2 linked regions of the Astyanax mexicanus genome follow. The main gene of each other region encodes a partner of the protein of the gene in region 2 in a complex. Links are inferred from orthologs where the notes say so. Each region holds a gene or a part of one and is shown on either strand. Other genes may lie near its edges. The genes, in order: slmapa and sike1.

Region 1 (16,558 bases), on a different chromosome or scaffold from region 2:
GGTGGTAAGAACTCAGTTGCTATGGCGACCCGCATGCCTTTCCAACGACATAAGCGCGATGCCTCACCCACGACAGCGTGCTAGTGGCGGAGCTAACGTGAGCTAGCATTTCCATATGTCCTTCCAGGCCCACACACAGGCCGCCGTCTCCCACTGGATGCTTGAGCATAGAAGGGTAAAGGGAAACTGCATGCCGAGAAGCAATTTGGCAGAAAAATATACCTAATAAAGCCTATAAAGACACTTACCTAACATTTACTACTGGAAAACTACTTAAAATTTGTGATTTTTTTTTTTTTATGCATGACCATATTGTAACCTCTTGTTATGCTTTAGAATTAAAACTATTGTTCCCAATGACTGTAGAAAACAGACACCATGATTCAATTTCCTCACCTTCTATATAAATAGAACAAAGCCAAAATTGTAACCTATACTAAAAGCTTAAGTCAGTGCAAGAAACATCTACTCATTGGTAGCCATGCCTCTTTTTTTGCCCCCGCACAGACCAAGTGTGTCCCAGACTGCCTTCATTGAGCTTAGAGAGCAGCTTAGAGAACAAGAAGCAAAGCAGATTTTCAGCTGGATTCTCAGTTTGACCAGCATGTGTTACATTAAATGCATAATTACTTATTAGTATTTACTGTGAATGTAAGTTCCAATACAACTCAGCTACTCCATGTAATGAACTGAAAGGAATAGGAAGCAGTGCAACTCGTCCTTTTTATGATATAGCAGCATAAAGGGGTTAAGGCTGATTTCTGAGGGGAAAAAGGACTTGCCTCAGGCAAAACTAACTGCTGGAATTAGACACTGGATACAATAGATATAGAAAAAAAAAGCTGTTTTAAGTTTCATTGATACATATGGGGATAAGAGAAGCTACATATATCATACTGCAGACAGGCAGTAGAGGTGATAGACCTGTGGGTGCTTGGCTTTTAAAAGATATTGTGCTGCCAATTAATTCTACACACATTACTTGATGTCATGGCCTGTAAATGACCTCTGACTTAAGTAGGCGTTACATTAAAGCTCACCTTCCGCGAAAATCCGATTTTTCTTGTTTTTTGTGGAATACAGTAGGTCTCTCTGAGTTGAATGTGTACACCTGCACATTAAACTGTTTTGCAGCCCCCATTGTCTGCAGGAGCTAAGCAAAGAAATCCCCCCTCCCCCCCTCCGAAAAACGGGTGAATTTTGAATTATCTTTCTGCCTACAGAAACTCACAGACCAGCCCACCTTGGCTCGAGAAACTCCCAGAGGCGGAGCTGAAGCGACGCAACATCACCGCTCATCAGTTAGGAGGTGGGAGGCAGTGAGCGGCAGAGCGGTGGAGGGGCGTCGCAGTGCTCCTAGCCAATCAGAGGAGAGATATTTGCATACTGTTTGCATGTATGAATATTCATGAGCAAAGCTGGAATCCGGTCATTGTGGACACACCCCTAAAACAGTCCATTAAAAAAGAGCTATACAGAGACACCTGAGCACTTTTTTTTTACAAAAACGGCTCACATGTCATTCATTCATACTAGAGACCACAACTAGACATTTTAAAATGAAAGAAAAAACGACGGAAGGTGAGCTTTAAATGCACAGTACACACTGTCAAAGAAATCACAAACTGCATTTATTTAGTATTTAATATTAACATTCTCCATTGATTTATATCACAGCAACAGCTCACTAGAAACCATGACTGTAGCCATAAATCACAGCATAGCACTGTTCGTAGCAATTTGTAATGGGTTGGGTTAGCTTTTAGCCTAGCCCAGCTGGATTCCACTATCAGCTCACTCATGTGCTGAACTGTGCTTTTCGTGGAGACACTATTCTGTCTGTGCTTCTAATCATCAAATCCAAAACACTACCTGTAACAGAAGAGAGCATCCCCAAGAAAGCTCCATTATCGTATTTCAGTAAGATGAGAGGAGGATCGATATGACAGCAGAGGCTGGGGGAACACTACAGCGTAAGGTTTACTGTTCCAAACACAGATAGTAGCAGCTATTCATTAACAACAGCAGGCTCAGGAGTACACTACCCACTATACAAATACTCTACTGCTGACACAGGCAGTATGTATATTTACACAATTAATAAAAGCCTATTATTTATGATTGTAAAATCGTAAAGCAGAAAGGCCAACATACAACAGCAGGGCTGGACTATAATGCATTAATTCGATTTTTTTTTATATTGCCACAAAAAATATAGAATATATAAAAGAATCTAAATAATGATTCATTTGAAAGCATGTTAACAAGCAAACAGATTTTTCTTTGGTGTAACAGAAGTGGTATTTTACTACAAATATGTTTTGTAGCATTTCTTAAAAGAGTCACTAAACCTTAAACCATATTTTTTCCATTAACAGCTGAAATGTGTTCTGTTTAAGTAATCAAACATACCAGTCCTGCTTAAAATATTAATAAACATTTTTTTCACCTCTAAAAAACACTTTTATTGTGGTAATTTCTGCCTCTGCAGCGCCCTCTCAGGTTCAACTGTGCTATAGGCCAGGATGATGTCTGCGAGTACATCACAATATGCAGATCAGTCGATCAAAAACACCGCCCCCTGCTGACGTCCAATCATCTGGGTCTCACCGCTATCAGAGGCACACTGCTTCTGCTGCAGCTCAGCCAATCAGCTCTCTTTCCTGCCCCGCCTCTAAACCCATACCCATCACCCAGTACCTTTTACTTTAAAGGGGTTTAGTGCCCCTTTAAAGTGAAAGTCTGTACCTTTTAGGGATTTGGGAATTTAAAGACCTCTCTGGTGAGAATGTGTAATTGCACAAATAATGTGGAAGAGTACTTTTTATAAAGGTTATAAAAGCTGCTGTGTAATATTCTGTGTTGTTAAGGATATCCTTCTGTTCATTTTGCTTATTCCTGAAATATTATCAAACTTTAGAACGTCATACCATCCAACAAACCTACCACACCACTCCTACCAGTATTTAGAATTAATATATCAGACATCACATAGACGTTTGTGCCAGGGCACTGACACCAATAATTAGCATATTTTGTTTCCAGCCAAATCAGAAATCCTGTTTTTTTTTTCAATTTAAAATACCTCCAAGATAAAAAATCTTAGGGATAGTTGCTTTAATACACAGAGTTTAGGATCACACTGGCTGCTGCTGCACTTCTGAGTTCCCACTACAGAAACACGATCGATGATGCAAATGTCAGTCAGATGCTTTAGTTTAATAACAGGAGTTAATTAATTATGAACCAGCACCAGAACCAACCCTCCCTCCCTCCCTCCCTCCCTCCACATCACCATAACCACCATTCATTATAAATAGCATACACTTGGGAGAAGAAGGCACACAAAGGCTGCACACTGAGTCAATAACAGCATTACAGACCTTCGCTGAAGATAAGTGGAAAGGAAATGCAGTCAATTTGCTAAATGTTGAAACATGACTGTAAAGGCAGATCTGCAACACACAATCAGCCGGCCTGATAACTCAACATGTGATCATACAGACTGACAGATCACTGGACTTTGATATAATTACATCTATCATGATCCATGAAGCTTCAAGGCCAGAGTTGTTGTTTAATGCATTAATAGTACATTAGGAATTAGTAGATGTGTTTTTAAAAGCTAATCACCACACTGTTATTTTGCCTTAGAATACAACACACCAAACAACCTTTTTCCTCTTATGGTAGGCTCATTAAAAAATAAAATGAAATTAAATAAATAATAATAATAATAATAATAATAATAATAATAATAATAATAATAACGAATATTAAGCACAACCAAAATAATAACAGGGAACATTTGGCAAATTAAAAATAAATAGATGACAGTGATATGATGTACTTGATGGGACATTTAATCAAATTTTACATATCTTAAGCAATCACCATCTAGCAGCTTATCATTGCAATAAATTTAAAGTGTTATTAGTTATAAGTCGGTTTTATTATAAGCAGGGGTAATATTTCAATGGTCAAGCAAATGCATATATTATATTATAATAACAACGACTATCAATAATTAAAATGGCGATAAAATGATGGGATCATAGTTAAAGTGGAACAATGGCTTATGGCAGAAGTCCAAGCCTGTGTTTTATGTTAACTACAGAGCTGTGTGTCGAGTGTCAATAAAACAATGGTATCACCATAACTTTTTTTTAACAATTTGAAAGAAAAAAAAAAAAAAAAAACATGAAATAGAATGCTTTAAATATTACTATTATTTCAATGTATTTAGCTTTGTTGAAGTATTTCTTTTCATTACTGTTTAAACATGCATTAAACATTCTGAACTTTGGAATTGTGGTGCTTTTTGTTAAAACATTTTCATTGTAAGTTACTGTTGTTTATGCAATAAACAAATGTTTCTTTTTTGTTTCTACTGATTTTTTTATATCGTATAAATCCTAAAGAAAAGTAAAGGATACTCATGAGATGCATAAACAGTCTTCAGTGTTTTTTTCAATGTAGTCAAGAGTATAATTTGCGCAAAAATATCTTGAATTTGTAGTGTGAAGCAAGCTGACTGAATTGTCCCTCTGTACGTCCAAGCTGTGTAGTTACATGACTACAGTTTTGCTGCAATAATATGTTTTATTATAGAAATATGTAGTTCTCTACATATTCTCACCAATGTTTGACATTATTGGTTGCAAGGAACTCCCATGTAAACCCCTCAAAGACTCATTGGATGCAAACATCAGCAGTGACAATGGGTTTGCACTGTAGAAGCAATGTGGTAAAAAAGATTAGTATGACCCAGAACTGCAATGTATAGTCATTTCAGACTGATCCTGCAGTCAGTGGTGAGGTAGGAGCAAGTTTAATGGGGCAGAACTTCAACAAAACTGATGAACTCTCAGAGAAGAACTCTTTCGCTTACCTGAGTTGGAGTCTGGGAAGGACAAGTAGCAGATGCTGGTTTTCTAAAATAAGAAAGAAGTTGGAAACAAATTGTGTACATGTCAACCAAAAACATCTATAACTGTAAATATTTTTTCAGGATTTATACAGTTTCCAATATCTGAAAACATGTTAAACATACATAAACCATTTCTACCGATTCATTTTTGCAGTACAATTCCTACACCCTGACAGACCAAATGCATTAGATGAGAAGAAACAGTTCTTACCTCTTTCTCTGTGAGCTTTGAATGGTGAGGGTATATAACCTACAAAAGAACAGAATTAGAGCTCATTAAGACTCCAAAATAGTTACAGGTTATGCACTGCAAATCTTACTGTACGCTGTCAACTTGGGTCAAAATCTCTGATCTGGAGGGCTGAAGTCTCTCTGGCAGCCATTCATAAGCTTTGCTAGTCAGTGTGTTTAAGCAGAGAAATCACCAATATCTGAGGGACACTGGCCCTCTAGGACTGGAACTCTGAGAGTCCTGACCCTGTTGACTAATGGTGTCACTGTTTAACTGTCAAAACCAAACACAGGTAAACAGCAAGTTTAAAGACATCAGGATAGTCCATGGTTATGTAGCTTTGAACTGGTCATTTTAAATAGAAATGCTGGACGATATGGGCAAAATTAATATCACAATATACTTCTGCATATTCCGATATCGATATGTAAAAAGGTCACCACATGTATGAAATCACACACTGACAGAGTTAGGTGGTATAGTAAGAATATTATATCACAGCATTTGATAAATCAGACAAAAATTATTTTTATCTAAACAGCATCAAGAACAATCATGACAGCATGACAGCCACAAATAAAAAATAAAACTGTAATTTATATTACAGCAATTATTTAACGTTAATATAGCTAATATTAGTTAATTTTGATGTAATGAAAATATATAACCACAAAGGGAGGTAACATAAAACTTCCTCTAAATCTAACTTCTCTGTGTGGAAGTGTGTGTAGTTGTTTGTGTGTGTGTGTGTGTGGGTGTTTGTTTGGCTAACCTAGCTAGCCAGTTTAGGCTAACAGAAAGGCTAGCTACTGTTAAAGACTATAGATATTACCGTTAGCTTAGCCAGCAAGCTAGATTAGCTAACTACATTATTACATATTTAAAGACATTTAAAGTTTTCATGACTGCTAAATACTTACTTATTCATTAGATAGTAAACAACAACTAGTTTACTAGCTAATAAATATTGCTAAATATCTGTTAACATTCATTAATTAACAGACTATCTAGTTAGCTAAGCTAGCTTTAACTATTTAGCAGTGGTGGCAAATCTACATCCAGATATTAAAAATCCGTTCCCGGATTTTGTCTTAACTGCACGGCCACCTCTGCAACACAGGAGCTGCAGCAGAGCTATACAGACGGTTAGAACAAAAACATGGAGCACACTCGCTCTTTCTGGACCTGGATTTGCCATTTATAGCTATTTGAAGCCTAGTTATGGTTTCAGCTAGTTTCAGCTTGTCAGCTAACCATCCAGGCCACTCAAAATAAACCTATTTATCATTACCTATTCATTTTTTATATATTGTATTAATAAAATGACACATAATAAGATGAATATGATCACCTCCACCGCCTGTCCGAGCTCCAGATCAAACCCCACCACACAGATGCAGTGTAGCCAGGCGGAGAAGCGGTCCCACGGCAGCAGCAGCTGCTGCTCCGGCTCCGGCTCCGGCTCGTCCTCTCCAGGCCCGTCCGCTGGCATTTCCTCCGCGGGAGAAATCTTCAGCTCCCGGTCCTCGCCCTGCTCGGCTTCTTCCATCCGCTCCTCCACCTCCTCCGACCCTCGCAAGGCCATGACTGGAGCCCGGGGTGCCCGTTCGCTCGGCTCGGACTCACTTCGAAGGCTAAACTAACTTAGCCAGCTAGCTTAGCCCACTAACGCTGCGGCTCGTATTCCTGTATTCAGAACGGCGCTTACGCTACCTACGTACACTTACAAAAAAAAAAGCGGATAACGCAGCAACGTACGGTAGATAGCTCAGATCTGCAGATCACAAGGAATCGGGTTAATACTGTGGACATGACTTGTAGATCGCAGAACTGTTAAGTTTTAAATAAAATTATTTTATAATAATCTAATTGTACAGTATATTGTACAATTTATTGACCTTATAACAAAAATAATAAATTATTACAAACAAATAAAACATGGGAAAATAAAATAAATAACACACAAGGCTTTCTGTTTGTCAAAAATGCCATCATAACTTGGGTAATTTTTGGGTACTTTGGGTTATTAATCATTCTAAGACAGTTTTATGTTATATTATACTTTAGCCATTAAAAAAAATATATATATATATATATATATATATATATATATATATATATATATATATATATATATATAAAATATTTAATTTTACAGCAAAAAGATATGTTTTTTATTTTTAATTCAAAATATTAATATATATATATTTGTAGTGAAAGTTATAATCAGAGAGAGGACCAATAAAAATATGTTTGGTTTGACTCTATAACACATATTATTGGTTATTATGAACAAAGAAGAAAAAACTCTATAGAATCTGAAGGCTTCCATTTCTTCTTCACAATTGTTTGTTAACAAATCCACCACAGCTTTTTAGAAATGTGGGTTATTAACAATTATAATGCTTTTTATGATTTATTTGGTCGTATTCTTCAAGACTTGTTCTTTATGAATATAATACCAATCATAACAGCCACAATTAAAAATGAATAAAACAATCTCCACCCTCATTAATACATTATAGGTTATACGTTATAGAACAGTGTCTAATGTCTTCTCCAATAATTCTCTAAAAATAAAAATATATATATTTTTGGTGTGTTTTTAAACTTTAAAACTTTGTTTTGACCTGAAATATAACAAGCAATATAACCAGCTGCTCTTTATTTTGTGTAAAAAAAAAACATTGAAATAAAATTTAGATTAAAAATAAAACTCATAGCAAATATTTGATTTTTAGTTTTCCAATTTCCCAGATATGCTGATGCAAACACGGAATGGAATGGAATTTTATTGTTAGAAAATATTTCAGTCTTTTCTACATATAAACACGTACATGCTTTACAGTTTCAAAATTTAAGAAGCTGATTAATATCTGAACTTCTGTGCAATGACTCAAATGTAACACATACTTCATTTGCATAAATAATAAATCATGAACACACTTACTAATTTGTTCTAATTCACTTCCTCGCCAACGCACGCATGCATCTCAGAGACATTTACCCAGACAAACAAACAGAACAAACAGAAACTGGTCTCAGTCTGGACTGCATGCAGACGGAGCTAAACCCCTTATCGTTAGTTTATTGGGGAGTGGAGATGCACTGTCCTGAATATCACAACTGATTCATCCTATAAATCGTCTAAGACCCTCTGGACTAATAGGATTAGCTGTCCTAAGATTTTGGACTTCAGTATGCTCTGCTGGGTATGACAGATGTTCTGTCTAACCCATGACCCCCTTAATGAACTTGAAGCTAATGTTTTAGTGATAAAAACACTTTGTTTGGCCTGTTATAATTATCATAATTGTAATCTCATCACTTCTAGTTTGATGCTGCTCAGCAGAGGCATCTGTTAGCTGATGTATCAGAACTAGGTTGCTGTGTGATTATCCAAACTATAAAGAAAAATATATGGAATTAGTTTAGCCTTATCTGAGTAATATTCTAATCCATATTATGGCAATAACTTCTTAACTAAGTAAAGAAAAAATATATATGAAGGTCAGTCAATCATCCTAAAGTATCCTAAAGTACAGAGGCAAAGACTATCAAAAATGTTATGATGAAACTGGCTCTCATTAGGACCGCCCCAAGAGAGGATGAGCAAGAGTTACCTCTGTTGTACAGGATAAGTTCATCAGAGTTACCAGCCTCAGAAATTGCAAGTTAACCCCTTAAAATGCCAGGTGTATGTGATCCAAAACCCTTTTTCTGCAGTAAAATAACTTATTTACATTCTGAAAATGTGTGGGCTTTGAAATCAGTAACAGAAATCAATCCCAAATTCTGCATGTTTGAAAATAGACGCAAAAACTAGACAAACATAACGAAACAACAGGTTTGGAGGACTGTTTGATTTGTATTCAGAAAAATATTGATTTTTAAAAAGCAAGTCAGGAAAGAGCCAATTTTATGAATGTATTCATTATATTTTGACATTAGCAGATTCACTTACTTATTAATACAATCACAATTATGATTTTTAGTAATGTCCCTTATCAAACATATAACAGCCTAGAGCACCTAAAAAACAGATTTTTTTATTTCTTGGAGGAATATAAGGATCAGTTTTTTTCAGTCACTGTACTTTTCGTTCCTTTTCCAATTTCTATCTTTCTTTCTTTCTTTCTTTCTTACTACATTTATTTATATTCTGCATTTAAACGCTGCACACTGTAGTAAGGGCTAATACACACAGTGGGCGGAAAGAGAGTGAGTGACCTATCCAAGAACCTCATTTGCAATTCTAATAATTAGCATGCCATTGGTTAACTTGGTCACCCGATCTATTTGGTGATTGGACAATTATTTCGCATCAGCGCTGGTGTTCCCTCCCTCTCTCTCTCCTCTTCGCGAGCCCCGCCGGTTTGTGTATTCCACTCCAGTATGGCGGCGGCGAGTTGCGGAGGAGGATAACCGGAGATAAGTTAGTCTGAATAGCCGCTGACGGACTCGCGGACCGGCTGGAGCACTTTACACACCTTGCTTAGAGTCTCCGGGGCGCGGAGCCTCTAACGGACCCGGAGGCCGGCCTGCGCGTGGCGGGGAAAGGACCAGAAACTGCTGTTCCGTGTCTTTTAGCTGGCTGGCTGGCTAGCTAGCTTAGCATCTTGGGCTAGGCTAGGCTGGGCTAGCCGCGAAGCTAGTGAGCTACTGCTGCTAAGCTAAGCTAACAAGCGGAGTAGGGGGGATTTTGTATCGCAAAGTTTATGAGTTAAGGAATTTGTTGTGCATTTTAGAGCTTAGACTAGTCGACAGCTGGGATTATAAGAGTGTTTTTCCACAAATTAAAGCTAACTAGTTAGCTTTATTAGCCTCTACCTCACATATTTTGCTCCTCTTGTCTAGCTAACTGGCTTTTTGGAAATCTCGTTAGCTAGCTAGGTTAGCTATTTCTTGCTAGCCTGCTGCCCAAGTTTAAACCATAACTACGGAGACAGGTAGCGTTAATAAGTTAACTAACAGTTTGTGAACATGGAGACCAAACAGTTTATTCTGTATGTGTGAATGAGCAGCCCGCAAATAAATCAATTTAATCGGATTAAATATCCTATTTTGAAGTCTTAAGCGATTAAGACTAAATTTCAAAGATGTTTAAACATATTTGTGCCTGAATTGTGTCTAAATAGCTAAGCAAGTGGTGGGTGAGAGCTTGACATTTACAGTTAAGTTAGTTAACTATTGAGAGTAAATTGTTTTTTGAATTTAACGTTGGCTAACTGAGATAACTAAATACTCGATACAAGTTACCCAAGTGTGTAAGACACAAGTTAAACTAACTTAACTAGTTCTAACAGAAAATATAGTTAGTGAGTTGGGGACATAAACATTAGCTAGCTAAATTTCAAAGTGGGCAGTGGTTAACTAACTTGAGCTATTCCAGTTTAGAGAACTTGAGTTGACCTCTTAACTTAGTTAGCTGCTTGTTATTTAAATGCACTTGAATTGAACGAATTCCTCTATTTCATTTATTGAAGCACCAACAAAGACGACGGATTATTTTGATAGATAGCTAAATAGATAGTAACTTACACCTAGGTTGGCTAGAAAGCTTGCGAAGCTGTAGGTTTAGTAGCTAAGCTAGTGTAGGTTTACAAACCTCAACACAACAGGTTTCTTGCTACTAAGTTGACTACCATAACTAGCCAGCAAGCTAGCAAAAGATACAAGCCAGATTTAACGTTCAAGGCTACATTTAAGGCTGAATCTGTGTTTTTGTGATCCTATGGTTAGCCACTTAGCTAGCAAGGTGGTGGAAGCTCATATTGTGAGAATCTGAAGGTAATCGTGGCCTGTTGACGTTTAAACCCAAAGCAATGCATTTTTATGGCCGTGTGGAGAAGGTGCAGTCCTAGCTATAGCTCCATCGCCTTGGGTTCTGTTTGACATCATGGTGGATTTGCGAGAAGAAGGGGAGCAGGGGGGCTTGGCTGGCTCTTCCTTTGGACATTAGCGAGCTATGTAAGCGAGGTTAGTTAGTCGATTTGGAAATATGTGCATGTGCATACGTTTGCGTTACACGAGCCAAACACGATACCGACTGTTTCCCTAAAAGATAGGAAAAGTGGAAGGATTGCCATTCTGGATCAAGAAGCCCTGCCTTTCGCCTCTGGTTGGAGTAGCACTCCCAAGCCGTCGTCTTCATCCATGCCTTCAGCGCTGGCCGTCTTCACCTGCCGCCCGAACTCGCACCCGTTTCAGGAGCGTCATGTCTACCTGGACGAGCCCGTCAAGATCGGGCGGTCGGTGGCCCGGTGTCGGCCAGCCCAGAACAACGCCACTTTCGACTGCAAGGTGTTGTCCAGGAATCACGCTCTCGTCTGGTTCGACCACAAGACAGGCAAGGTGAGTCGTGTGTGAGTGTGAGAGAGTGCTTTAGGCATGCACAAACAGGTCCAGCTGGATCATGTGTATGAAATAGCAAGCTTGCTGTGATGTTTTTGTCCCAAATGAGACCCGTTTTGATTTAGTTAACTAACTAGCAGGTTGCTTTTTCGTGACTGCCTGCTGTGGTTTTGTGATTTTCTTTACGTTTTACTATACTGACTTGTTTGAACTGTAGCTAAGTATACTACGTTTCCAAAAGCACTACCTTACCTATCCAAATACTTGAACTCAGGTGTTCCAATCACTTCATGGCCTTGCACATTTGTGCAAGCATGGTTGGCTCTTAGGATCTCAGTGAATTCCAGTGTGATACCCTGATAGGATGCCACCTGTAAAACAAAGTCCACTTGGACAATGTCCTCACTACTAAATATTCCACCGTCTACTGTCAGTGATGTGTTTGGGGAAGACAGCAACTCAGTCACAAAGTGCTAGGCCACCTAGTGCAAGTGGATGCTGATAGCATAGTGCATTTAGTGCATGTCTAGTTTCTGTACAGTCAAGTGCTCCCGGCCTTCAAATTTTACTGCCTTCTTATTAGCTTAAAGACGGTAGTGTGTAGAGAGGGTCATGCAATGGGTTTCCATGGCTGAGCAGCTGCATCCACGGCATACATTACCAAGCTACATCACCAAGCACAGTGCAAAGCATGGGATGCAGTGATGTAAAGCATGCCACCTCTGTACTGGACTGACAGCTGCCAGGAGGACCTGTCTCCGTGCATTGTGCCAAGTGTCAAGTTTAGTGGAGGGAGGCTTATGATGTGGGACTTCCTTAACTTCCTTACTCTTAATGCTTTAGCATACCAACAGGGTTGGAACTAATTCTTTCTCTCAACTTTATGGGAACAGTGTGGGGATGCCCCATTTCTGTTCCATAAATATTTGGATGGACAGTTTGGTGTGCAAATAACTTGACTGGCCTGCAGAGAAACCTGACCTCAACCTGATAGAACACCTTTTGGATGGGAAGACGCGAGGCAGGTCATGTGGTTTAAAGTCATTTCATAACGGCAAGGATTGTCTTATTTAATGTTTTCCTGTGTGCATAATTGATTGATTCAGCACTGATCACATGTAGCCGTGCAAGCAGCTGTTTGGTCTTTTACTCTTTGAAAATATATAGGAACAGGACCAATGTCTTGTGTCTTGTGTAATGAGCACAAAATGCTTGTTATGAACTTTGCCATAGCTGTCTGATTAGGTGTAAGTCTTAGATTTGAGTTCCACCTGTGTAGTTTTTAGGTACAGTCTATGAGCCGAAAGTGTTGTATTTTAATAATTCTGTCATCCAAAGTAATATCTGATTCAATATTTTCATAATTGTAAGAAAATGTTTAGTGAAGGGAACTGATTAGTCCGTTTCTACTCATGTGTAGGTGTGTATGTGGCCGTTGGTTCTCCTTTTCTCTTTGAATGTATAGAGGAACTGAACCCATGTCCTTCAGTCAACCAAAACAAGTTTTTTTTTACAAACTACTCTACCTTTACAGATTGGTTTGTCTGTCTGGTATATGTCATACATTTAGGTTCCTCTTGTGCTTTTAACACTCTTTTAAACCCTTCAGGAATGCTGCAATTGGTCCTCTCTCTCGACTGATATAGAATCCAAACCCATTCTTTCAGTTTTGTCTAGTATATGAGGTCATGTCATAGATATGTGTTTCTCCAGGTAGTAAAAGCCTTCAACATGCTTTTAAAACCCTTCAGAAATGTTCACATGTTGAAATTCCTATTGTGTTTCCAGATACAGCTAATCAGAGTAAAGATGTAGAGGAGACTATAGCTTTAATTTCACATTAACCATGTTTTTGAGCATTTGAAGATTTTATATTAAGCCTTAATTAATAATATTCCAATTTTTTATTTGAACAATTGTCCGTGTTAACGTAATAATGGCCGACTTTGATCCTTAACTAGATTGACTGCGCAGTCAAATCTCTTAATCTGTCTGTTCCAGGGTTGCAACAGTATTAGCCTCTCACAACTATCGCACTGGAGATATTGCCCATGTGGATTATGGTTGTAGGGCAACTGTGTGCCAGCTTCACTCAGCTGTGTTGGACATTTCTCTGATGAGTCAGTGAATGGTGACCTCGCTCTCAAAAAAGAGCACTGAGTGGTTGGCCAGGTTTAACCATTAACCTGTTTTCCATATTCAGCTCTTCTGCTAATGGATCAAACCTGGCTTCTGTAGACATTAGGAAAGATCTTATTACTTTGATGGCTTCGTGTGTCACAGCTGCCAGTACAGGGATCATTTGAGTAGCATGTAGAGAAATGAGCACAGAATATCTGTGCCAGGGGTACTGCCCTGTGCAGATTCAGCAAAGCCCCAGCTCATCAACTTATGATCAACTCTGTCATGAGTTGGATCAGGTATATTGGGACAGGGAATACCCCAACCTGTGTTGATATAGCATTACGGCCCCAGTTATCTGGTTTATTGGATTATCGGATGTGGATAAATCGGCACATAAAAATGCAGGTGTAAATACACTTATGGTGCATTTAAAATATACAACATGCAAATCAAGTAACTCGGACCGCTTAATAAATTGTGTGTCTAAAATCAAGATATGACCAGCTAGTGTTTAATACCTTTAAAAACAAATGTCTGCTTATTTGTACCATTGATATCGAGATATTTTCACTGCTTATTATTCATATTGGTAATAGCCTTTTTAAGTTAGCAGAGAAATGCTTTTTTGATCGTTTTTATTTTTTGGCAGGTGTGCCTACCATGAGCAATATCTGTAAAGCCAGCAACCTTGATGAGTCACAATTGATTGAAAAACATGCAGCTGATTCTAAAGTAAATGCCAGCTCAGCAACAGTCAAGGGCCATCCATGTTAGGGCTGCAACTAATGATTATATTGATAATCGATTCATTTGTCAACCTTTAAAAAAAAGTTGAAACTGCCACCTCATTTCAGGTTGAGCGTAAACTTGCTGAACTTAAATGTACTAAGTATCTTGTATAACTACTTTAGCAGGCTCTAGTAACTCAGAGTGAGAAAGAATTAGAAATTATCGCTAACATTAGCTTGACTAAAACTATGGATTTTTTGGAACTGCTAGTAAAGCTGTCACCTTTGAAATTTAAAGTGAAATTTAAAGTGCAAGTGAAACTTGGGGGGGGGGGGGGAATGTTAATTCTATCTTGTTTAACTACTCTAGCAGGCTCTAACATTAAGTGAGAGAAAAATAGATCTAACTTAATACAAACTTACTGTGAATCTCCTTCACCCATGGCTCCAAAATGCACACTGCCTAATGGTTCTTTACTGACATGACTTTGGTTTTGCTCAGTGCCCCAGCAACTCTACTTATGTGTATAATAACGTAGACCTGTTAGTGATCTATTAGTGATTGTTGTATCTAAGTCAGTAATAGGTTAAATAACATTTCCTTTCAGCCCTTGATCTTTGTGTCTAGTCATTTGACACACTTGAAGATGCAGTATGTTCAGCAGCCTCTTTGTGCTGATATATGGATGATCTATGAATTACATAATTGAATATGTAATTACATAATTCTCCATTATTATTAATAATAGTGGTCTTTATGTTTACTCTTCAACTTTGATATTAGAAGAACAGGCATAATTGAAGTTTGGTCCTTCTTCAGTTAGGTTCAGTTGAGTGCACAGTAATTATAAGATGAATTTCAGCCTTATCTCTATCTGACTCATCTGTAGTATACTGTCAACAATAAATGATGATTTGAAATCAGAGAAGAAAGCCTTCTGACTCTCACGTGTGTATTGGCTTATATTACACTGTGTTTTTCAGTCAACAGGTTATCTTGTCTTTTCTAGGTACAGGGAAGCACATCAGAATCGCTCTGTGGAAACTGCCTGTACACTACCGATGACGTGGCATGTAGAAGTTGGGCTGAAGTGGTGGAGTGATCTTTTAATAGATATTTTCTCTGTTCAGTTTCCACTTTTGTTGCATCGTCAATGATTTAGAAATGCTTCACTGGCCTTTTTTTGTGTTTGAGTATTGAACTCTGGTGCCCCTGCTGCACAGAATAGGCCTGACTTGGTCAAAGACAGTACAAGTGGAGTTAAGATGTCAGTCAAGAGCCTTGGGGATTTGGAGGTTTCCGTTTAACCCATTTAAATCATGGCCTATTTAACAGCTGATTAAGCTGTAAGCGTAACATTGTGCACAATGACCACATGTTTATATATACCATACTGCCAAAATGTTAAGACCACTCGTAGATAAATTGAATAACATTGTGTCTTGGAAATGACATTTTGGATTTTAGATTTTGCATCAAATGCTCAGCTGAAAACATGAGCCAAAAAAGTATTTTTTTGGCTTATAAATAGGTGAAGGCAATAAAGGCTATTGGGTGGAAGTGACATGGCTTGATGACTATGGCTACTGTGTGTCATCAAATCGCATTCTTGCTGCAGACCAGTCAGCATGCTCATGCTAACTCCAGTCTGTCTAAATAATGCTAAAAATGTCATTCTTCATTCAAATTATCCAATATCAGTTTATATAATAAACCCATGATTGATTTTTAAAATCATAATTTGATGCTCACTCCTAATCATTGGGCACGCAAGGGCCTCCTGCAATGAATGTGGATTGTAAATATGAATAATGTTAAATACATTTAACAAACCTCCCATCAATCTGGCGTCCACTATCAGGCCTCGCTCAAACTCCATATATTTATATCTTCTTGCCATGAATATGCTGGCCAGTGATCAACCTCACAAGATAATGCCTCACAACCTTCAAAGGTGTGGGCATTTCCTAGCTGTCCCCTGAGCTAACACTCAAATATCAATTCATTTACATACTGCTGGCCCATTACTATTGGCAATGTCAGTGTGTAGTTTACTGTTAAAACACAGTTCCTAAAGCCATGCTCCTGTTTGCTTCTTCTGGTAACATACATAAAGTTAGCTGGCTCATGAAAGGTGGAGCTTTTTGAACTACGAATCTTGGACCATGTTAAGGCATCCAGTTTAATGG
Region 2 (16,799 bases):
AGTTTCGTTTATCTGTTTTTTATTTACATGCTGAAACTCAGTTCAAGCCACTGTACCAGTTTTAACCTCAGAACAGAACCGTGCACAAAACACAGACACGATGCCACAATAATTTATGCAGTAACCACTGGAGATACTGATGCAATTCATTAAAAGCTACTACAGGCCGCTCAAAGGCAAGGCTACATTTGTACATTTGTTTATGTATATATATTTTTTTTATTATATTAACCAAAAAATGGGAATTCTGCATTGCAAAAGTATTCCCACCTCCAGAAATGCTTCGAACATCTGCCATATTAAAAATCACAGATACAAAAAAATACACAGATACTGTTCTTAGTCATTTTTAGAAATCGGGGGGAAAAAACACTTTTTGGGCTGGCTGAGTGTGCCATGCATAATCTATAAGATTAGCTTGTTTTTCTAACTTTTTACATCAGAATTTAAATGCCAGCTCATTTACTACCATCCAAACTAATACCACAGTACTGGGAGTAAGAAAAGAAACCAATGAACAATTGTAGTAGTATGTTAGTAAAGAGTCAATTATGGCATTTTCTCATGCCTGGTTGTGGTCCAATAAAAAAAAAAGTTTAATTAGACTGAAAACCTAATTTAAACAAATGTCCAAATATAACACTAAGAAGCTCAGCAGTACTTTTCATTTTACCATGTAAATCTGTATCAATACAGCAAAGTCTGAAGATTTCCCAAAGTGCTGAATATTTTACAAGGCACTGCAAAATTAAAAATAATGCTAATTTTATAAACTACAAAAAATGAGACATGCATGTGACAGGCGGTCAACTAATGAAAGGATGCTGTGCATCTTTCCTGAGAAAAAATCTGAAAACAAATCTACCTCTGTTACTACATTGTAGAAATGTGCGCCAGTGGGCAGCAGGAGGGTCAACACTATAAACATTACCACACAGATACGAGCCAACACGTGTCCTGAGATGGTACAACAGAAAAAGTTGAAGCTACTGAACTGTAGCTTCAAAATAGAGCAGCTCTTCATGTATTTGGGTGCACTCATTCAGCGTCAGTAACTCTGGGGCTTGGCTCTGCGTTGGGTTGGCTGGTCTCTTCTCTGTGTGGTTTCAGGGTATTCTTACTGATGGCCAGGAGATCACGTAGCTCCTTGTTTTCAATCTGAACAAATATAAAAATGTAGTCAGTTGCACCAAAACATACAAAATAATGCAGCATAGTATTACAAAACTACAATAAAATATAATTTGCTATACTTGACTTTTAATGGAACACTCTGGCGAGACAAGGAAAACCCATATCATTCCCTTTAATATCAAAATAATATGAAAATCAACACCTCAAGACAGAATATGCTTTTTTAAATATTTAATACACTTGCAAGGTGTATGTCATCTGAAAGAGTTTTTCCTAGACCAGCCAATATATGCCTTTTCAACAGACATGGACTGAAACATTACCTCCAACTGAGCCAGTCTCTCCTTGACAGAGCAGTAGTGCTGGTCATCCACCTGTACCGCTCTACGCATCACCTGACCCATCTCACATATTCGCTCCAGCTGACTCTGCACCTCCTAGACCAAAGACCAGAAGTACGTTGTGTACTGAGTGTACCAGATATATAGTCTGCACATTTGTAAAAGCTTGTATTATAACATATCCTTTATAGTTCACCTTAGCATGGTCCTCATGAAGGCTGAGCACAGGCTTAGTGTCCAGCTCCTTCTTGCCCATCATCAACTGAAGCATCTGCTTGCGGTATCGACCCATGATCAACTCCAGTGCGTACTGGTGCTCTTCTAAGGAAAGCCAAAGCTCTGTGGAACAGCAGAAAAAAAGAGCATTAAGCAAATACTCATTATGATGCTATGATTTAGAATTGCATATTGTATGTGAGAAATGTAGAAATCATGCCTCTGTTCTCCTGCTGAAGTTCCTTAATCTGAGTATTCTCTTGAGTCAGAAGAACGTGGGGTTTGTATTTGGACAGCTCCTGGTATCCAGCACTTTCCTCAATGTACTGAAAGAATAAAAGAGAACAATTAAATATGTACTGACAATTGTCCTAGAAAAATTAGTTTTCTAAAGCAAATATAGATTAGTTAACTGTGTGTCTTCTAGTAGTTCTTTTTTTATATATGTTTTTTTCTCATTTGTTTGATTTGGTTATTCCTATCTAGTTGTAAGACTTGTGTTTTAGGTGTATTTAATGCTTAAATATAGAATATTTTAAAGGGTTTACGAACTATCATGGTTTTAGGCACTAGTTTAAGTTTAAAGGAAAGGCCCATATTATCTAAATATTTTCCTATTTTTTTTTTTTTTTTTTTTTTTTTTTACAATAGAAAATATTTTCTATGTAAACTTTTATTTTGTACTTTCAAAAATAGTTTTATATTTCAGAGACACATCCCAGCACACATGCTTTCAATATGTGTAAAGAGACTATTTTATATCCGAGTATGAAAGGTGGAGGAGCCCAAGGTCTCTAACATCCACCAGCTCTGTGGTCTCATCAAGTGGAAGAGTGAAAGAGGATTCCAGAAGTAACCGGTGAAGCTCTATACACCCATAAAACCCTATTACATTTGTTTTTGTATTGTGAGATTGTTCAAATGTTTTGAAAAAAAAAAACAAAAAAAAAAAACACATTTTAAAATCAAAATGTATATGCAAACTATACTTGGAGTAACAAATAGCAAGGCTGCAAAGACTGTTAACATAAATGTTCCCCTCCATTTATTATGTTTATACAACCCCTGGCAAAAAGTATGGAATCACCAGTCTTGGATGAGCACTCCTTCAGACATTTCATTCTGTAAAACAAACTCTGATCAAAAACATGATACAATAATAAGGTCATTCCAAAGTGCAACTTGTTGGCTTTCAGGAACACTCAAAGAAATGAAGAAAAAACATTGTGGAAGTCAGTGAATGTTACTTTTATTGACCAACCACAGGGAAAAAAAATATGGAATCACTCAATTCTGAGGAAAAAAGTATGGAATCATGAAAAACAGATAAACAAAAGATGATTCAAAATACATCACTAGTATTTAGTTGCACCACCTTTGGCTTTTATAACGGCTTTCAGTCTCACAGGCATGGACTTGATGAGTGACAAACAGTATTCTGCATCAATTTGGTGCCAACTCTCTTTGATAGCAGTTGCCAGATCAGCTTTGCAGGTCGGAGCCTTCTTGTGGACCATTTTTTTCAATTTCCACCACAGGTTTTCAATTGGGTTGAGATCTGGACTATTTGCAGGCCATGACATCGACTGAATGTGTCTTTCTCCAAGGAATGCCTTCACTGTTTTTGCCCTATGGCACGATGCATTGTCATCTTGGAAAATTATTTCATTATCTCCAAATATCTGTTCAAATGAAGGGATGAGAAAACTGTCCAAAATGTCAATGTAAACATGTGCATTGATAGAAGAATTAACCACAGTCATCTCCCCAGTGCCTTTGCCTGACATGCAGCCCCATATCATCAAGGACTGTGGAAATTTGGTTGTTTTCTTCAGGCAGGCCTCTTCATAAATCTCACTGGAACGGCACCAAACAAAAGTTCCAGCATCATCACCTTGTCCAATGCAGATTCTTGACTCATCACTGAAGATAACTTTCATCCAGTCATCCACAGTTCATGATTGCCTCTCCTTAGCCCACTGCAGTCTTGTTCTTTTATGTTTAGGTGTCAATGATGGTTTTCTTTTAGCTTTCCTGTATTGAAATCCCATTTCCTTTAGGCGATTTCTTACGGTTCGGTCACATACATTGGCTCCAGCTTAGTGCTGGGCGATAAAACGATATCGATAGTTATCGAGGAAACTATATATCGCGATAAGTCGGGGCGAGAAATTCGATAAACTAAATTTTCTATTTCCCGTTTAAGTAGCGTTGTGAAAAGGCGCAGCACGAGATCAGGCAGCACGCTGAACTGCTGCTCAGCCCAGTACAACCCCTCCCCTCCCCTCTCCACCATCCCCCTCCGCCCCACCCCCCGAGCCCCTCCACTCTGAACTCCTCACATAGCGGCTCCTTCTCTCCCATTTACTGGATAAACTTCATTTATACTATTCAGCGGCGCTACACTGGAAAACTCACCTTTTAAATATGAGGCATGCGTCTCCAAGATATTTAGAGAGGTGAGCTTGTTCAGATTTCTGAAGGCAGGTAAACGCTGCTCTGTTTGCTGCTAGTTAGATTAGCTTGTCTCCAGTTTAAAGTTAGCGATGTTTAGGTGTAAAAGGGATCTGTGCAATCTGTCATCATTAGCTAAGATGCTTTCACTGCTTTTTACATTCTAATAAACTAATGGGTAACGCACGTTAGCCGTGTTAATCCACGTTTCGTGTAAATTAAGGTTAACTTCAGCACGAGTGAGGGGTTAGTATATAAACACACAGAAAGGAAGCACTTTCCATCTTTTTTCCTAACTCTCACTGTTTCTGTTAGAAAACCCTGAGGGCAGCATTCTCCTCTGTCTTTGTGTTTTATAGTTTTTAACAGATAGAGAGTCTGTTATGCTGGATATTTTACTAAATACAGAAGATTATATAATCTGTCTAGCTGTATTTGAACTGAGCTAAACATTGCTGTTACTGAACTGGAGTTTTAAATACACTTAAGTAATGTAAGTCTAGTCTACTGAAAGCCAGTAATGTTAGTATAAATCTGTACTGCAGTAGAAGTGGATCATTTCAGAAACTTGACTTTATTCCTCCCACCTCCATTATAGGCCACTTTTTTTTTTAAATATTTAAATGTTAGCTTAATTTAAATGAAAAAAAAACTAAAGGCTCTTATTTAAAAAAAAACATAAGCAGTAAATTATCTAAAATTACAACAAATAGAAAATAGAAAAACAGTAAAACATATGTAATACATACTTTTTATATGACCAAAATTAAACTAGACTGAAATCTGACTAAAACTAATAATATCCGATAGACTAAAATGTAACTAAAACTATTATACATTTTAGTGAAAAGACTAAGACTGTATCAAAATCACCTGTCAAAATGAACACTGTGATATACTCTTGTATTTTGCTTTATGTAGTTGCCTGCATTCAGGGAGGGGAATGATCTTTTGATTAAATATAATTTTATAAAAATAAATAAAGTGTTATTGCAATTTAAATTAAACAGACATATAATGTAAAGGGTCTTACATATTTTTTAGTTTATATATTTGTCCCCTTTTTAAAATTAATTTAAAAGCTGTACCCACCTGGCAAGATGTTAACATCCTAGTGTCTGTCCACAAGGCTCTGAGCCTGCTAGTGATTTTGTCCATAACTCCCTTATTCTGTCACTTCTGAGTAAAAATAGAAACCTTTAAGTGTAACAGAAAGTGATTTGATTTATATCGTGATACATATCGATATCGGCTGATATGAAAAACTATATCGTAATAAGATTTTTTTCCATATCGCCCAGCCCTACTCCAGCTTCTTCCCATTTATGCTTCATCTGTTTAGTTGTACTTTTTCGGTTTTCAAGACAAATGGCCTTAAGTTGCTTGTCTTGACGCTTTGATGTCTTTCTTGGTCTACCAGTACGCTTGGCTTTAACAACCATTCCATGCTGTTTGTATTTGGTCCATATCTTGGATACAGCTGACTGTGAACAGCCCACATCTTTAGCAACCACGCGTGAAGAGTTACCTTCTTCAAGAAGTTTCACAATCCTCTCTTTTGTTTCAAGAGACATTTCTCTTGTTGGAGCCATGGTTCTTGCCACTCTAATTCGTCCAGCAGCCCTCCAAGGTGTCATGACTGCAGGTGTTTTTAACTGCAGACTAACGAGCAGATCTAATCTGAGGCAGGTGTCCATTTAGGGAAAGGAAATTGACTGGGTGTGTCCTTATTTTCTACCTTCAATTTGAGTGATTCCATACTTTTTTCCTCAGAATTGAGTGATTCCATATTTTTTTCCCTGTGGTTGGTCAATAAAAGTAACATTCACTGACTTCCACAATGTTTTTTCTTCATTTCTTTGAGTGTTCCTGAAAGCCAACAAGTTGCACTTTGGAATGACCTTATTATTGTATCATGTTTTTGATCAGAGTTTGTTTTACAGAATGAAATGTCTGAAGGAGTGCTCATCCAAGACTGGTGATTCCATACTTTTTGCCAGGGGTTGTATATGTTGATATATTTTGCTCTTGATTTGATTGTCCATGTGATTTTTTTTTTATTCAATTACAGACTTAAAACTTTTAGTTGGTGGATTGCTATGCTAATGGCATTTGTCAATTTAATATTTCCTATTGTTATTTAATTTACTTCTTTCTATAATTACTGTATTAAAATTACTTAACCTAATTTACTCATGTGTTATATATATGTTTAGGTATGTAAACACTATATGTATATTTTTATATGCATGCCTGACTTTATGTAAATGCACTTGTGTATTATGTCTGGCATTTTGTGGGTTGGGGGATGGAGTGTATAGTATATATATTTTTTGTTATGTAATACAAAAACAAACAAAAAAAATTAATGGCTGTGCTTTGAGTTATTGTGAGAGAAAGCTGTTTACTGACTACTTTACATTGTATTAAAGTGTGATATCTTCAGTTGTGTCTCATGAGCAGGAACTTATGGTACTAATGTAGGATTTAAAAAAAAAAAAAAAATGAATACAGGGCTCCTGCTGGACTAGTTAACCTACCTTATCCGGCAGAGCGTTCCCCACCTCCCTCATGCTGTGGACCCTCTGGCTGAGGGTGCTGGATTGCTCGATCAGACTCTCCGCCGCCGTGTCGTGCTCTTTCAGCCTCTCCAACAGAGTCCGAGCGTCGGACAGCACCTTCTCCATGGTGCAGGACATGTCCGCAGGTAGGTAACCTACTGATATGCTACAGAAACTACAGTCAGATATAGGCAGTATGGGAGTGTCCTGTGTCGATCTGCTGCCAAAACTTAAGTTACTGTAAACACAGAAAAGCAGCTCTAAATACAGACCTTCAGTGCTTAATAAACTGAATACCGATACAGCTTCATCAGCTAACCTACATATTTACTGCCTCGTGTCCTAGTTTTAATCAGAAACGGGATTATTACTGAACTGTTGTAGCCAAACAAACAGCAGATAGACAAGATAAACCTGCAGGGACTCCAGGCCACCGCTGCGCATGCGCTATGCGTGTTTCCGCATCTTCTTCTTCTTCTTCTTCTTTCAGGTTTATGGCGGATGGCAGACCAACTGAAGGTGCATTACCGCCACCTACTGAGCAGGAGTGTGAAGTGTGATTTCGGGAAGTGACATGGCCAATAATAAACAAAATGTAGGTGAAAGGAAATTCATAAATAAGTACATAAAACTAAAAGAAAGTAAACGAGAGAGGGAAAAAAAAAAAAACTAAATAAAGCAAAATATACCAATAGCTTTCAAATATTGAAAAACCAGTTTATGAACCGACCCCATCCCTGCCCCATAAGAAAGCAATCCTGTCAAAGAAAATTCTTTATGACCCTTGTCTTTAAGAGAAGAAAACAAAATCTTCCTTTGTACAGCATATTTATTGCAACAAAAAAGAACATGGTCCACGGTTTCCCTCTGCGGACAGTGGCGACAAAGCCCTGTGGAGTGTTTCTGTATAATTTGCAAAGAGGCATTCAGCATACTGTGACCTATTCGGAGCCTTGTTAGTACAATTTCCTGCCTCCGACCGTACCCTCCACTCCCTCCAAAACCAACTCTCGGTTGTATTGCAAACAAATGCCTCCCCTTTGGTTCATGTTCCCAATTAGACTGCCATAATGTTCTAACATGTTGCTTTACAACCACTCTTGCCTCAGCTTTGCTAAGAGGGATATTGAGATCACTTCTATTTTGCTTCAGGCAGTGTTTAGCAGCTTTGTCAGCAGTCTCATTACCGTCCACCCCTACATGTGCTGGAACCCATAAAAACTGAACTAAAATAGTCTGCATGTGTAAACGAAATAATGCCTGAGATATTTCTAAAATTAGGTCTTGTCTACATTTAGATTTGCCAGACTGGATGCTTTGTAAAGCAGACAAAGAATCTGAACAAATCACCATCCTCATTGGGCAAACATCCTCAGCCCACTGCAATGCTAAAAGAATGGCGACAAGCTCGGAGGAAAATACAGATAGGTTATCAGACAGTCGCCTACCAACAACCACATGAAATTCTGGCACAAAAAACGCTGCTGATGTGGAACCCACAGTAGGATCCTTTGACCCATCAGTATACACCTGCAGAGTACCATAATAATTAAGTGCCAGATGTTGTTCTACCATAACAGCTGTACTTCCTGCATCACTCCATTTTTTATTAAGGAGGGAAAAATCAACCCTAGGCAATGGGAACAGCCAAGGTGGTACCACTGATATAGGAACAGTACTGCTGAAAGCACGAGCCTGCAATCCCATTTCGCCTGCTTCTGAGTTGCTCAGACACCCAAAACTCCTTGAGGGACCATGAAGAGGAGCACTGCAATCATGTAGAACAGACACAGCTGGATGGCTCTCTATGTGCCCCTTCAGGTTGGACCAATATACAGTAGACAATGCAAGTCTTCTTAAATGCAAAGGCATTTCTCCTGTTTCAACCTGTAGAGAAGCCACTGGGGAGGATCTAACTGCACCACAACACAATCTCAGAGCTTGTGCTTGAATTACATCGAGTAATTTTAGGTTAGACTCAGCAGCTGATCTATAGGCCATGCAGCCATAGTCAAAAACCGATCTAATTAGAGCATCATAAATGCACAGGAGAGAGGAACGGTCAGCCCCCCAGTCACTTCCCGCCAAGCATTTAAGGACATTTAATCCTTTTTTGCATTTGTCTATGATCTTCATAATGTGATGCTTCCAGGTCAATTTCGAGTCCATCCACAAACCAAGAAACTTGATTACCTTCACCTGTTCCAGAGTCTGACCATACAATTTAAGCCCAAGTTCATTTGTTTTTGATCTCTTAGAAAAATAGATGACCTGGGATTTAGCCACAGATAACTTGAATCCCCATTCATTTGCCCAGTGTTCAACCCCAACAATTGCCTCCTGCATCTTTCGCTTAACAAAGGATAGATTCCTCCCTCTCTTCCACAGAGCCCCATCATCTGCATACAAAGATTTTGCTATGTCAGGACTAACCCCAGAAAAGATATCATTGATCATAATGTTAAATAAAATAGGGCTACAGACACTGCCTTGCGGAGTCCCATTTTCAATAGAATACACTTTAGAACATGAAGTACCCACCCTGACCTGTATGGACCTATTCATTAAAAAATCCATTACCCAGTTGTACATCCTCCCTCCGATTCCGAGCATAGACAGCTTAATTAGCAGACCTTCTCGCCACAGCATATCATAAGCCTTCTCAATATCAAAAAATACAGCAACAACCACTTCTTTATAAAGCTGAGCCCTCCTGATATCCGCTTCTAAACCTAGGATTGAGTCCATTGTCATTCTGCCCCTACGAAAACCACTCTGATAAGGAGAAAAGCTATTCTGACGCTCAAGAAAGTAGGACAACCTTTCTGTTATCATGCGTTCCATGTTTCCGCATCTTTTGCCGGTGAGCTGATCATGAACACGTTTTTTTATGTAATTCTTCCATTTTTAATAGTTTAAACGACTCCTTCTTAATCTTTTTTATATTCCTAAATTATTATAAAATGATTTTAATAACATATTGAATTTCAGAGAATTTATTGTACTATTGAATACTTTTATTGTGTAAATCTCACAAATGCAAGTATAAAATATAATACGTATTTTTAAAAGTTATTATATGTATTTTATTTTATGTTAAATATATAAAGCCAAGTGTTATTTTAGCTAATTGAATGTGAAAAAAATCATAAATTAAAAAGTTAAATTACCGATAATGTATTAATTTATTAAAGTGATATTGACGACTTTTATTTTGTAAACCACTAAAACAAGCCATCGGCAAATCTATCATATACGAATTATTTTTTGTTTTATTCGTGTTGTACTTTAATATATGTTAAATATATATTATTATATTCCTAGATTCTTATAAAATTACTTTTCCTATATTAAAAATAAAATAAAAAAGACTGATTACTTTTATTGTGTACATCACACAAACACCAAGCCAAGCTAAGAATATATTACATAATACCTATTTTTAAAGTTATGTTGTATTTTGTTATATGTTAATATATAAATATACTATTATTTGGTAATTAAATGTAATTATTATATATAAATAATAAGGTTTTCGAGATTGTATTGACATTGCTGACTGTGCTGAATTGTTTAAACCACTAAAAATAAAATAAAAGCTATCTGCAAATGTGTCATATAATAATATAACTTTTTATGTACTTTAATATATGTTAAATATATACATTAAAATAAATTAAAATAGTTGCAAGTCTGGGAAATTAGAGTATGAGTATGTGTATGAGTAAATAGGCTATAGCCAGGACTGACTAGCATGTATATAGGGACTTGACTTTTCCAGCTTGCTAACACTATTCTGTTTTTGGCCTCCATCTGTATTTATCAAAAAATAAATACATAAAAAGTAATCCAGGACTTCTAGTATTTTCTAGTATAATAAATCGGTTTATACCAGGTTTTTTTTTTTTTTGTTGCAACTTTCCACATCTACATCCACATCCATTCATATTATGGTCAGAAATTACACCCAGTTGGACAGTCAAACGGCCAGTAGAGGGCGTACAGTTCATTCAATAGGCCACAAAGTTATAAGCATTTCTTTCATATAAACTAATCTAATTACTAATCAGACCCTTATGGTCAAGAGCCAGAAACAAACCAGTGTGATTTATAGCATTCAATTTATTTACAGTCTATAATATGGCTTTAATATCCATTTAAGACAGTTAACTGTTAAGGCATCTAACAGTTCTATGCCATTATATATGTACATACAGTCAGGCAAAAAAAACATTGACATGTTTATTCTGTAGGAGAAGTTAATGAAAATTAGTGTAATTTTTGTTTTATTTTTATCAGTCCATTCATCATCAATTTTTGAAACACAATATAAAGAACAACAGCCAGATTTACAATAGGGCAAAATGGTAACAGTGGCAAAAATGAAAATACAAGGTTTTAGCCTGTTGGCAATGATATAAATATTGTATAACAGTAAAAAACATAAAATATACTATAACTATAACCATGGAAAATACATAGATGTAAAACTTATCAATTTAAAACCACTAAACTTAAACACTATAATTAGGTCAGTCAATCCAACAGAAACCCACTTTCTACATATAAAAGGAGAAAAGTTTGGCAAGTGGAGGAGAAAGCCATATATCCATATATCCATATATCTTATACTGAGTCATGGTTCTTTTCCCCTCATCACAATCTAGGCTGCTCTAAGCTCTTCTCCACCTCTCTAAAGAATCCTGTCAGCTGGGCAGTGGTATCAGTGTGCACGGTGACTCCGCCTCTTACTGGGGAATCGGATCCCGTTTCCCAGCAGCTGCTGTGGGGTATTCATGTGGACGGAGCTTGCAGTGACCGTGGGCGTGGCGAGAGTTGGTGCGAGATGCTCGAGCGAAGCAGGATGCTAGAGTTCTAGAGCTGCAATCGCAGGGGCCGTCCTATAGGGGAGGAAATATACAATGTTTAATCCAGACCAAAGAACAATTTTACAATATTTATATACTAAATATTTCATTCATGAAAAAAAAAAACCATAATATACACTGATGTGCCACAAGTCATGGGATAGCAGTTTGTCAGCTAATCATGTTAATCATGCAGAAAACTGCTTGGGAATGGCCATATCTGTGTTGTTTTGTGAATGAAGTTGAATACTAGCCATCATACTCATGGCAAGGCATTATGAATTTTTGGGCATTTAACATTTCTCAATCCACAGTGTCATGTGTATTAGGAGCACTTTATATAAGGCATTACCACCCACAGTCAACAGTGCAGTGGGTGGTAATGATCTTGACTGGCGGCATCTGGCCAAAACTGTCTGTGCAAACACACAAACGACACTAGCAGACATTACATCCATATGCAATACAGTAGGTTCCAGATGCATATCCCGTATGTCAGTGTAGTATTCTGTAGGTCACACAATACTAGATCCTGTCTCATGGCAGTGTATAATAGATACCTATCAATTGTTGCTTTTCAAGGCTAATGCAGTCTGATAACTGCTTTCGGACATATTTGCAAAGTTAGTTTAACATTTATTACAGTAGGAAATTAGATGTAATTATTGACTTTTTCCATTTGGAAAAAAAGAAATTGATTTTCATTAATTTCTTCCATACCATTTTACATAAAATTGAAGAAATAATCTTTACTCAATTTTCTCCTCCAGTCTGATAATATAATTCAACCTATTGTTGTTGCAAGATGCAAAGCAAAATAAAAAAAATAGAGAACTGAGTAAAAATACTTTTTATTATTTTCCCTTAAATTCAGATTGTATGGGAAAAGAATGAAAAAAACATTTGGAAATTTGGAAAACCAAAGAAAACATGTTTCTAATACACTACACAAAATAATTAAATTCATCCTGAAACAGTCGAAAATTGGACTGGATGGAATGATAAGCATAATCACCTTGTAAGCCCCTACATTCCACTCACCTCCAGAGTGACAGCACCAAGTCCCTTGTCCTTACTGATGGGTGTCTTGATGCCCTGGCTTTGACCCTGGCACTGACCCTGAGCTTGTAGTTGTCCAGTCCTTGGCTCATCCTTCTGACCCTGTTTCATAAACCTGCGATTAACAATTCTGGTTACGCTGTCGCTCCGCACCAGCGGTACGCTGGGAATCCGAGAAGTAGGCCCCTCTGCTTTCTTTACTCTTGCTGAACCAGCGTGATCCCTACGAACTGCTGGAGCTTTCTCCCCTCCCGGGTTGGGTTTCTCTCCACGGCCGCACACGTTGCGGAAAAACTCCTGCACCAGACCGTACTTATGGATCCCTGCGGACTTGCGGCCAGCGGGCTTATCGCTGCCTCCCCCGGACACTGAGTTGGGTCTGGTTGAGCTGGAACGACCCCAGGCAGAGGAACTGGAACTGCACTGAGAGATACTCCATAAACCACGCTCCCTGGAAGTTCCCAGCCTGGAAGAAATGGCTAAAGATGACGATGAAGAGGACGACAGGGTAGATGAGGTAATGGAAGAAGAGGAATTTGAGGAGGTGGAGGAAGAAGAGGTAGATAAAAATGGAGAGGAGGTGGAGTGTCTTCGGTTGAGTTTAGGTGAGGTAGAGCAAGCTGGTAGCCTTTCTGTTGGCCCAGACATCCTCTCCAGGGATGCAGAGATTGGCTGAGCACGACCAGACACAAATGATGTCACCCTGGGGGACCAGTGTTTCCCGGCATACATGCTTCGAGGACCCTCGGTCTGAAGACCCACGCTGTTCACCTGAGGTTGAACTTGAGTGTTCGTTTGGGTTCCTGTGCTGATAAGTCCCACAATATGGCTCGCAGAGTCCCGCCCTCTCCTCCTCTCTGGAGTGCTAGGGAGAGAAGATTGAAGGACACTGGCTGTCATCTCCTTCATGTCGTCACTCATGTTGGCTGAAACCTCTAAACTGAAGGGCAGGCAAGATGGAGACGATAGTCCATGCGTTTGGAAACCAGAAGAAGAGCTGGTTCTAATGGCAGCAACTGAACCTTGCTCTATTGTACTATTGCACTCCAGAGGTAGAGTCCCAAGCCAGCTCTCGTAGACAGTGGTTGAATCTCCATTGATATGCTGAGATGAAGGTCGGTGGCAGTTTTTTTCTGGCCGATCCCGAGGCTCCTCACCCTCATCCTGATCTTCTACTGCCACAGCACTGAGGTGGATTCTGCGTGCTGAGGGAGGACTGTAGTATATCCTCAGTGTGGTTCTCTCTGGAGCTGTGTGGCTCTTCTGAGCTGTTTCCTGCTTTAGGTTCATATTAGGGAAGCTGGGAGGCATGATGGGACAGTCCCAGGTCTTGCAGAGATCTTCTGTGTCCATAAGAGCTGCTTCTCGACTGAGGTACAACCAGTTCTTGGTAGAAAAACGTGCAGATTGGCAGATTTTGGGAGTCGTCCTGTGAACAAAATTAATTACTGTTAGTTGCTAGACCGTCCCATGACTTCTGGACCAAATTTGGATTACCTGAGCAGTGAAAGAAATGTGCTACAGGTCCAGTTATGAACACTAGTCACAAATGCAGAAGTTCACAAGAACTACACTGATTATAAAACAATTCATGAAAATCTAACCCTCTGAGTTTCACAAACTCACTAGTATGTCAAATTGCAGTATTTGTGTATCTGTTGTTTTCCTCTTGTCTGTGATTGGTGGATTTGAGCATTTCTCTATATTCTTTGTGAAACTGACCTGGACTGGACTGACTTATTGTATAATTCTGGAATAACTTTAAATACAGCCTTTAAATTAAATGGCTTCTTTGTCAATCAAAAAAAAAAAATCAGGAACTGGGTTGCAAGGAAACTTCAACACTTTTCATAGGCTCATAGTACTGCATATGCATATTTTAGAAATATTTTGAGAAGAGATAATCAAGCATAATTAAGCATATTTCTGCACTATATGATCACAAAGATATTAAAGCTTCCAGTCCTTAAGTTCTTTTTCTTTTTAATTGAAAGCAGTAGTATTCCTGAATGTGAAGTGGACAACATATTCTAATATAAGGTATCAAATTGCTTCTTTTATCAGCTGTGCACAACCAAATATATTCATTTTAAAAACAGAGTGGTCTGGTAGTTCTCTCTGAGAAATTTCCTGGCAACGTCACATGTCTTTCCATCAGCTTTTGCTAGTTACCTGCTTCAACTGTGACACGGATAATGTCGCTGCTACAGTAGCTACTGAGAGCATGAGGTTATAAGACTGTCAAAGTGTCTTTGCTCATTTCTGCATCAGTAAACCACAGGAAGGCAACGTTAGAACTGAAGAGAGCTGGCAAGCTAATAAGGAGTGCAAAAATATATCACCAGATTTTATATAAAATATTTATTATTATTATTATTATTATTATTTAATATTTTCCACATGCTGATTGTAATTACACATTCTGACACCCACAATCTACAGATTGCCACTTTATTAGAAACACTGAGATGAGCAGCATGTTTGTGGATCACAGTGGGTTAAGAAATGTGTTACGAAAGCTACACATGTGAATAGAGAAAATAACAGAGATAGAACTGACCTGTTGTTGGTTTCTTCTTCTTTCAATGGAGTCTTACATCCATCAGACTGGAAACAAGCAGACATGACAACAATTTAGTTAAAGATTTTGTATTTATAATAAAAGTAGGTTTAATTGCAGTCTAACCTCAAAGTATGATTTTGATACTGAATGTTGTGGGTATGGAGGCAGCTAGGGCTGAGAGATATTCTGAATTATGTATCAATTATATATATTATATTTAAATTATATTACAGCTGAGGAATGACAGTTTTATTCAGTTTGTTTTATTTTTATATGTGCCAAAACATAGTAACTAACAGTATCATCTAGGGCTATCAAATTTGCAAAGTAGTGTTTCTTAGACATTTATATTCAAAGGAGTCAAAACTGTATAAGCACACTTCAACTTTTATAAATCAAATAAATAAATAACAAGTAACTTATTTTAACCTTATAAACAGTTTTTATATTAAACAAGGTACAAAAATAATTCCAGTAATAATAATTAATAATAATATTTCAGTAAAGCATAAAAAGTGTAGATTCACTCATGCAGGTTTTATATGTAAAATATGGGGATTTTTTTGACCTCATTTTAAAAACTTTAGCATTAAAAAACATCATTTCATATATGGAGTAAATTCAATTACCCTTCCTAGCACTACTGGCAGCCCACAGTTTTAGTTTGTGCTAGCAATGTTCACACAAACTACTGGAAAATGGCGATTTTATTTAGGAAAAGTGTGTCAGAGAGTGAGGGATTACAGTCAGTAAAGTAAGGAGGAGTGAGAGCAGAAACACTCAGAGATCAAGAAAAAATCTTGGACAAATTCCGAAGACTCAAGCCTCATTTCTCCCCAAAGCAGTTAGTTACAGTGTGTTCATCTGTATACTGTGGTCGTTTACTACACCCAAATTCTATTTTAAAGATTTTGCATGCGTGTGACTGAGGCTTGATGATGTCCTGTTGTAAGTTTCATCCTCAGTGTAATTCATATTCACTGTTTTTTTGTTCTGTATCGTGTGTGTAGTGCTGGCTGTGGTCAGTGTGCTCTGGCTAAACACTTCCTGAAGTCCCGATTGCAGTGGATGTCTGCGCTTTGCCCTACTGTACTGCAGTCCCAACAGAGGATTAGCCTAAATTCCATCCTCACACATACGTGCCTAACTCCCTCGTTTCCTGAGCGACAGTTTGAAACGTGGCCAATGGATGAGCAGTATGATGTTTTTTTTTATGCATAATAATAACTGGTATTAAATGTGTACGTAGCACTGGCATCTCAACTACACATTCGGTAATAATGAGTTTTTTGTTTTAGAGGCAGCACTTGAAGATTAAATATTATTTTTTATATTTTACTTCTCATAACTTTTTTTTTCTTGTTTTGGCAGAATTTCTAAAATTCCTTCTGTTTATTTCCAAAGAACAGACTTAAAGGGAACTAATCTAATATATTGGAGTGGTCTTTTGGTCCTGCTGTATATGGCATGATAAATATTCACACAGTGTAAGGTTTTATAGCTTATCTAACATAAAACAGGCACTTTCGGTTCTTAACTCGAGGTATTGTAAAATAGGATTATATATACTCAATGTATTTATTTATTTAGTTAGTTAGTTAGT

The links.
Region 1: the proteins of sike1 (region 2) and slmapa are in contact, whole or in part, in a crystal structure (PDB 6AKM), measured with the Homo sapiens proteins. The link is inferred for Astyanax mexicanus from reciprocal best matches to the Homo sapiens genes SIKE1 and SLMAP. Residues at the interface, in NP_079349.2 of Homo sapiens: Ile5, Ile8, Leu9, Ala12, Lys13, Leu16, Leu19, Arg20, His22, Asp23, Ala26, Glu27, Leu29, Val30, Ser33, Ala34, Leu36, His37, Val40, Met43, Arg44; in NP_001291349.1 of Homo sapiens: Leu168, Tyr171, Leu172, Glu174, Ala175, Arg178, Glu179, Met181, Leu182, Lys185, Thr188, Leu189, Leu192, Leu193, Ile195, Thr196, Ala199, Ser200, Thr202, Ser203.

What each region holds. Positions count from the first base shown.
Region 1 is NC_064431.1:3,489,432-3,505,989, forward strand, and holds the start of slmapa (sarcolemma associated protein a), read left to right. Parts: upstream 1-9,533; 5' UTR 9,534-11,141; exon of another isoform or gene 11,142-11,226; 5' UTR 11,227-11,318; coding exon 11,319-11,516; intron 11,517-16,558. Other genes in the region: dennd6aa (DENN/MADD domain containing 6Aa), read right to left, coding at 4,892-4,934, 5,142-5,180, 6,514-6,747. UniProt on the Homo sapiens protein: Associates with the striatin-interacting phosphatase and kinase (STRIPAK) core complex, forming the extended (SIKE1:SLMAP)STRIPAK complex.
Region 2 is NC_064420.1:39,057,110-39,073,908, forward strand, and holds the start of sike1 (suppressor of IKBKE 1), read right to left. Parts: upstream 7,128-16,799; 5' UTR 6,845-7,127; coding exon 6,686-6,844; intron 2,018-6,685; coding exon 1,912-2,017; intron 1,815-1,911; coding exon 1,672-1,814; intron 1,572-1,671; coding exon 1,458-1,571; intron 1,159-1,457; coding exon 1,039-1,158; 3' UTR 1-1,038. Other genes in the region: si:ch211-197l9.2 (protein SOGA1), read right to left, coding at 11,455-11,607, 12,616-14,062, 15,194-15,240.